Xenopus tropicalis: one gene and its partner. The protein of the gene in region 1 purifies or fractionates together with the protein of each later gene. This does not show direct contact. Links are inferred from orthologs where the notes say so. Each region holds a gene or a part of one and is shown on either strand. Other genes may lie near its edges.

What was found.
Region 2: the proteins of dld (region 1) and ogdh purify together in Homo sapiens (affinity purification with mass spectrometry; 3 studies listed by BioGRID and IntAct, counting the BioPlex papers as one, with this or other methods). This does not show direct contact. The link is inferred for Xenopus tropicalis from reciprocal best matches to the Homo sapiens genes DLD and OGDH.

What each region holds. Positions count from the first base shown.
Region 1 is NC_030679.2:76,049,319-76,053,137, reverse strand, and holds part of dld (dihydrolipoyl dehydrogenase, mitochondrial), read left to right. Parts: intron 1-225; coding exon 226-369; intron 370-1,340; coding exon 1,341-1,442; intron 1,443-3,819. UniProt on the Homo sapiens protein: Lipoamide dehydrogenase is a component of the glycine cleavage system as well as an E3 component of three alpha-ketoacid dehydrogenase complexes (pyruvate-, alpha-ketoglutarate-, and branched-chain amino acid-dehydrogenase complex).
Region 2 is NC_030679.2:126,371,322-126,375,140, reverse strand, and holds part of ogdh (2-oxoglutarate dehydrogenase, mitochondrial), read left to right. Parts: intron 1-2,506; coding exon 2,507-2,695; intron 2,696-3,192; coding exon 3,193-3,286; intron 3,287-3,587; coding exon of another isoform or gene 3,588-3,690; intron 3,691-3,819. UniProt on the Homo sapiens protein: 2-oxoglutarate dehydrogenase (E1o) component of the 2-oxoglutarate dehydrogenase complex (OGDHC). Participates in the first step, rate limiting for the overall conversion of 2-oxoglutarate to succinyl-CoA and CO(2) catalyzed by the whole OGDHC.

The DNA of each region.
Region 1 (3,819 bases):
TCAAAAAATTAAATTGCTCTGTTACTGACTGGAAACTTAGCACACAATTTATTATTACATTTATTTATAAATTGCCAACATATTCTGCACACTGTATGCAGTAATTGTCAAAACAAATTAATACACCAGAGAGTGAGGGCGCTGCTAGCAAGGGCTACAATAAGTGATATCTGCAAACTTTAATTACTATGCATTTTCTTTTTCAACACATCTTTTTTAACTTAGGTAGTACATGTTCAAGGATTTGGAAGGATTACAGGCAAAAATCAAGTAACAGCAACAAAGGCAGATGGAAGCACCCAAGTCATCAACACAAAGAACATTCTTATTGCAACAGGCTCAGAGGTTGCTCCCTTCTCAGGAATTCCGGTATCTTACATTGTACTCTTTGATTATAATTTCTTGACTCAAGAAACTAGACCACTTTGCTTTATTCTCATGTGTCTATTCTCTCCTCTTTTGAATTTGTGGTTTGTTAACCCTGATTCTTAACCAAGAGCTAAGCATGTACAAGCAAGTACAAGAGGCAGTGAGGCATACTTAGCTTGAGTATAAGCTACAGTATTAGCCTTGTTTAGGTTTTTACAGGCATGGCAGTCATTTGGTCACAAGGGGGCTCCTAGTGCTGTAGCTGTCAAAGCAGTAGGCTACATATACTGACTGTCAGCTTCTTCTATACTGGGTTGGTTGCTTTTTATTACCCTTGTAGCTTCTCCTTGGAAAAGCTATAAGACAAAGAGAAGTTTGTAAAAAGTACAATATTTTTTTTCCAGAACTACAATTAAAGGAGAATGCAAGTCAAAATTTAAAAAGCATACTGCCCAATAGTCCTCCTATTGTTTAGTAAAAATGCCACACTTTTGGCTCACCTAATCAAATATTTACTCAGTCACACTTACTTCACATTTTCTAGAACAGGCAGCCATCTCTAAAAAGGTATTCTCCCTTCCTTTCCCTCCTTGCTTCATACTGCACGTGTTTCATTTCCTCCCCCCCCCCTCCCCTCTGTCAGATCCGCTTCTGATTGGCTGGTGGGCATGTGTAGCTCAGAACCGGAGACAGGATCAAGTTACACACATGCTCAGAGAATAGGAAGTCTGCCGCTGGCAGCCTACAGGAAGGGAAGAGAGATTTCAGTGATGTCACTGTAGTCTTCACACTGCTGTAGGCTGCCAGCACCATATCTCAGAGAAGCAAGCAGGGATCTGGGAATTTAGATATGCAGTAAGTACTTAAAAATAATGTCTTTAGACTTACTTTTAATTTATATTAACCTTTCATTGTCCTTTAAGAGTGTGCTGTTTGTCTATTGAGAGATGATTGTTCTAATTTTGTTCTAGATTGACGAAGAAACAATTGTATCTTCTACCGGAGCATTGTCTCTTAAGCAAGTGCCTGAGAAAATGGTGGTAATTGGTGCTGGTGTCATCGGTGTTGAATTGGTAAGTTCATAAGTTTTATTTTGCTTTACTTTCATATGTCCTTTTGGTATATACTGCCTAGTTTCTAAAAATTAATGTTAACAGAATGTTTTTACCTTTGTTTTTTTCTTAGTTTGATTTTTTAAGGTAAACTTTATTTAAGTTTTAGCAATTCAACAAGTCAATAGAGCAGTACAGCAAGATGCAAGCACAGCTACATAAGGGAGATAAGGTGTGTAAGCAGTGATGGTGGATTGACCCTCAGGAAGGCCTAATTCAGTCCCCTTTCTCATCAAAAGAAAGGGCACTAGTAAAAGCTACTTAGTTTTTACATTACCGTCTCCTTTAATGGGTGTCCTTAACAAACTTATTACACCAAACAATAAGAGAAACAAACTTGTTCTCTAATATTCTATACTAGGAAAAACATTGCCGTGCTCTGTAGTCATGTCTTCTTTTATATTTGCATGAAAACAATTAGTAAATAAAGTGTTGCTATTGATTAAACTTATGTCAGAAGTTTGAGGGACACAAAAATAACTATGGAACATTGCTAGAGCTGCAGCAGGGAAGCTACTAAGACCAAGCTAAAATGGCAGCTGCAATCTTAAACAGAGAGAGCTTCTAGGGCTGTTTATTCATGTATGGTAAAGCTTTCTGTAGAATAATTATAGAGTTCTAGGTGGCACTGTTGTGGCTAATGTTTGGGCAATAAAATGCCAAAATGCCTTTCCTTCTCCTTTAAAGACAATGTGGAGAAAGGCTAGGTCATTAGCCAATAAAGTCATACTATTAGCATAACATTGTGCTATAATGTGGCAGGGCAAAATCATGTGGTAAAGAAGCTGGCGAACTGCAGCAGGCATGTATGATCAGATCATCTACCAATAAGTAAGAGTTTGATTGAGGTCATTTGCATCATTTTGTGATGGTTGAGTCTGTCTGGTTAAAATTAGAAAATTGTATTTAATGGTAAAAATCCTCAGTATACAGTGGTGTGAAAAACTATTTGCCCCCTTCCTGATTTCTTATTCTTTTGCATGTTTGTCACACAAAATGTTTCTGATCATCAAACACATTTAACTATTAGTCAAAGATAACACAAGTAAACACAAAATGCCGTTTTTAAATGAGGGTTTTTATTATTTAAGGAGAAAAAAAATCCAAACCTACATGGCCCTGTGTGAAAAAGTAATTGCCCCCTGAACCTAATAACTGGTTGGGCCACCCTTAGCAGCAATAACTGCAATCAAGCGTTTGCGATAACTTGCAACGAGTCCTTTACAGCGCTCTGGAGGAATTTTGGCCCACTCATCTTTGCAGAATTGTTGTAATTCAGCTTTATTTGAGGGTTTTCTAGCATGAACCGCCTTTTTAAGGTCATGCCACAACATCTCAATAGGATTCAGGTCAGGACTTTGACTAGGCCACTCCAAAGTCTTCATTTTGTTTTTCTTCAGCCATTCAGAGGTGGATTTGCTGGTGTGTTTTGGGTCATTGTCCTGCTGCAGCACCCAAGATCGCTTCAGCTTGAGTTGACGAACAGATGGCAGACATTCTCCTTCAGGATTTTTTGGCAGACAGTAGAATTCATGGTTCCATCTATCACAGCAAGCCTTCCAGGTCCTGAAGCAGCAAAACAACCCCAGACCATCACACTACCACCACCATATTTTACTGTTGGTATGATGTTCTTTTTCTGAAATGCTGTGTTACTTTTACGCCAGATGTAACGGGACACGCACCTTCCAAAAAGTTCAACTTTTGTCTCGTCGGTCCACAAGGTATTTTCCCAAAAGTCTTGGCAATCATTGAGATGTTTTTTAGCAAAATTGAGACGAGCCATAATGTTCTTTTTGATTAAAAGTGGTTTGCGCCTTGGGAATCTGCCATGCAGGCCGTTTTTGCCCAGTCTCTTTCTTATGGTGGAGTCGTGAACACTGACCTTAATTGAGGCAAGTGAGGCCAGCAGTTCTTTAGATGGTGTCCTGGGGTCTTTTGTGGCCTCTCGGATGAGTTGTCTCTGCGCTCTTGGGGTAATTTTGGTCGGCCGGCCACTCCTGGGAAGGTTCACCACTGTTCCATGTTTTTGCCATTTGTGGATAATGGCTCTCACTGTGGTTTGCTGGAGTCCCAAAGCTTTAGAAATGGCTTTATAACCTTTACCAGACTGATAGATCTCAATTACTTTTGTTCTCATTTGTTCCTGAATTTCTTTGGATCTTGGCATGATGTGTAGCTTTTGAGGTGCTTTTGGTCTACTTCTCTGTGTCAGGTAGCTCCTATTTAAGTGATTTCTTGATTGAAACAGGTGTGGCAGTAATCAGGCCTGGGGGTGACTACAGAAATTGATATTGAAATTGAAAATTGAAATTGATAAACCACAGTTAAGTTATTT
Region 2 (3,819 bases), about 50 Mb from region 1:
ACTTAGTTTTGGGAATTCAGTGCCCAATTTTGTTGGTTCTTGGTGGTGAAGTTTTCTTGTAATATAGATTTATAGCTCCCTAAGCTTTTGTTGCCTTATGATCTAAGGGAGAGGGGTATTTCCTCATGATAGTATCCAAGTACTGGGGTAAGAATTACCTGCCTAATGTTACTCTGTGCCAGTGCCCAGCTTGCAGCCGGCTAGCAAGGTGCATCTGTTCAAAGAAGGGCTAAAACACTTGATGGGCCTGTATATTCACCCATATACATTGCTGGAACAGTCCAGGCATGAAAATCTTTAAATACCTGCTCACCGGGATGTGCCATTTGCATTGGAATAGTTACACTGACTTGCCCTTTGGGCTGAATGTAAGCCTAAAAATACTCTCCTACTGTGCTTCACTATAGTAAAGTGCGTGTTCCCTGGGTTGGGCCGTTGTGCGCTACTATAGGAGCCATTAGCAGAAGGTGTGGCAGGCTCTTGGAATAAATATACCCAACTGGTTTCATTACATAATTGCTGGCTACAAGGAGAAGAACTTGATCAACACCATTTCTTAAACTGGCCCCAAGGATCAGCCTTATTAACAATGTGTGGGGTGGGCTAGGTGGCTTTTTATGATGGTGGTTCTTACAGTGAATTGTAGGTTGGTCATTGTGGATCTGTACATAGTCCTGCGGTCTGTCCATCTGTGCTCACCCAGTGCAGCTCCAGATAATAGCACCTGCTCATTATTTCAGCTGACAGGAAATAATGCACTGTAATAGGAAGGGGTGTGGGGGTGAAATACACACCCCCTGTCATATCATTGGCTAATATAGCGTAGCATGCATGCCCTTGTGTCAGCACAGTGCATAATATGAGCCAGGGGGGCTACGGAACTGGCAAATATTAGTGATGAGTTTTCCTGTTTCGCTTTGCCAAAAAGTATGTGAAACTGCAAAATTACGCAAAACGCATGGAAGTTAATGGGCTTCTCTTTGCAGTTACCACAACTTTGTTTTCATGGCTATTAGAGTCTATGGGTGTTTTAAGGCAAAACGTTGTGAAATATTTCTCTTACCACTAGCACATTGTTAGCCTTTTCATAAAAATATTTTTCTATTAATACACAAGCCATGGATATGCTGTAAATGATATCCTTATAAATAGCCATTAGTGATGTCATCCATTATAATCAGTAATGTCATTTCTGTCACTGAGGACTTCTAATACCCTCAGAGTTTCATGACCTGTAGAAAAGCACTCTGCCTTCATGCCCATGCTTTTATATGGTCATGGAACTTTTTTTGTTTAATAGGGGGTACATTATTCACACTATATATAAATATATTTCTTCAAGAGAGGGTGTAATACACCCGCGTGTATGTTGAGGGGTATAGTTTCCCTTTGCATAAGACGGCAGTGGTGCTGCTCAGGGTTAGAAGTCACTCAGTCCTGGCTGGTTTGTACTGGAATTAATCCTACGTCATCTCTACCTGGCTGGGCTCCAGTGTGAGGCTGGAATGCCGTCTCACTCACAGGCCATTACGGCTATTAACTCCTCTCTGCTGGGATAGGACTGTACCACTGCACATTGTGTTTTCCCTCCACCGTTCTCTTTGGGTGATTTAACCTTTTAAGGTGCAGAGTTCTCTCTCAAAATAATATTTTTGAGGTATTTCTGCTTAATATTTCACATTAGGTTTCTTATCTTGCATTTGTCTGCACTCTAGGGATACCATAACATGATCTGTGTTATAACCAAGCCCCCTGGGTCAGTGTGGCAACCTAGCCTGGTAGAGGAAGAGTTAACAATGGCAGTCATGTGTGATGGAAAGACTGCAAAGGAGCGCCTAGGAATTGACATGGGAACTGATCCCAAACTCCGGCAGAGGACAGCCTGTCCCTTGTGCCTTAAAGTCACTTTATTATTGACAGAGCCGGTGGCACAATGAGTGGGAGCAGTGGCTAATACATACAAACCAGCCTGCTCCGCCTGAGGAAAGCCTATACCCCCATTAAATTTACAATATGCCCCGCTCTGCTGGCTCTCCTGGCCATCAGGACTGTAATTACTGTCAAACAAGATACCCTGACCCTCTCACATTCCCCCACTCACCCTTCTCATGACTCCCCGGCAGGCCTAAAATAGCAGCCATCCCCTGACCTTGTGGTTGGCCTATAAACTAGCACTCTAGCTAGCAGCCTTTTCTTTACTTTCTCTCTCCTCATGGGGCTTCCATGCCAGCATTGTGTACCCCAGTGCCATGGGGACCTAACGGAGAATGTTAGGAGTGCAATAGGTGCTGCCATAGTGCAAATATAGGCCTTACAGCTGTGTACATAACATATAGCGTGGTTGCCTTCTCTCCAGGGACTCTGTGTTCCAGTGCCAAAGGGAAATGCCTTGCTGACTGTATGAGAGTGCCAAATCCTTTATATCCATACCAAGCCCGATTGTGTGATGAAATAGCAAGAGAATTTACTGTGGTAATGCATACGTTTGCTTCTTTTCCCTTTTTAGTCATGGGACATCTTTTTCCGCAACGCAAATGCTGGCGCATCCCCTGGTGCAGCTTACCAGAGCCCGCCTCCTCTCGGCAGCAGCTTGTCCACCCTTACCCAGGCCCAGTCGTTGGTGCAGGCCCAACCTAATATAGACAAGCTTGTGGAGGATCATCTCGCTGTGCAGTCGCTCATCCGTGCTTATCAGGTACAGAGGATCCTATTGTGCCCAGCTTTATACACTTGCACTGAGTATCTCAGTCTTTGATTGATAGTTGCATTGCAGAAAAGAGGAAAAAATGTGCATTTTACTTTTGTTTTGTTCCCCCAAGCGTCTGTAAAGTTGCTGCACATTTCGCTTGCTGGAATCCGCCATTGCCTCTCTTGCCGAGTGGTCACAACTTTAAAGTCTCCCGTTTGTTCTAATCCCATTGCAGATTACAAGAAGTTAGCAGGGGGCATGGCCTAGCACCTCAGGGGTGTGGTTAGTTCAATGTAGCTTTTTCTTATATGACTTTCTTATAACTGTCGTGAAATACATCTCCCAGCATCCTCAGCCTGCAGCCGATGGCTAGGAGCTTGTAACAAAGAAGGCAACCAGTGGGTTTTCCAGGGGATTTTCATGGCACCACAGTTTGGGGGGGGGGGGGGGGGGCTGGAGGAAGTGTGGCCCATCTTTTTAACATGTTTTGTCATTGCTTCCAGGTGAGGGGTCATCACATTGCAAAGCTTGACCCGCTTGGAATTAGTTCTGTTAATTTTGATGGGGCTCCGGTGATAGTCGGATCTCCAAATATGGGTGAGAATCATTTTGTCAGACTTGTTGTAACTTTTTCTCTTTTTCCTGTGCTTTTTCCTCTTCTTGTTATCTTTACCTTTCTGTGTCCTCTTCACCCAACTGTCCCTTTCTGTGCTTTGCCACCTTTCCATCCTTTCTGCCTCTTCTCCTCCCCTGCCCCCCCCAACCTGCCTTCCCCTGTATCTGACTGCAACTCCCACTCCATGCTTATCTGCACCTGCTCCCAATCATCTTCCTACTGTTCCTACTGTCTATTTCAACCCCTCCCATGTCCTGTCCTTGGAACCTTGAATTCATATAGATCCGTGGGCACCATGTTGCTCAGCTTGACCCTCTTGGCATTCTGGATGCAGATCTGGACTCCTGTGTGCCAGCAGATATTGTCACTTCCTCAGACAAACTCGGTAAAGGCTAATGTGCTAGTGTCACTGCTTCTGCACCTCGCCATCACCACCCCTGTCTGTCTGACTACCCCCCCCCCCCTCCGCTCGCTAGAATACCAGCCACGAGATCACAACTAACAGCTGCGGGGT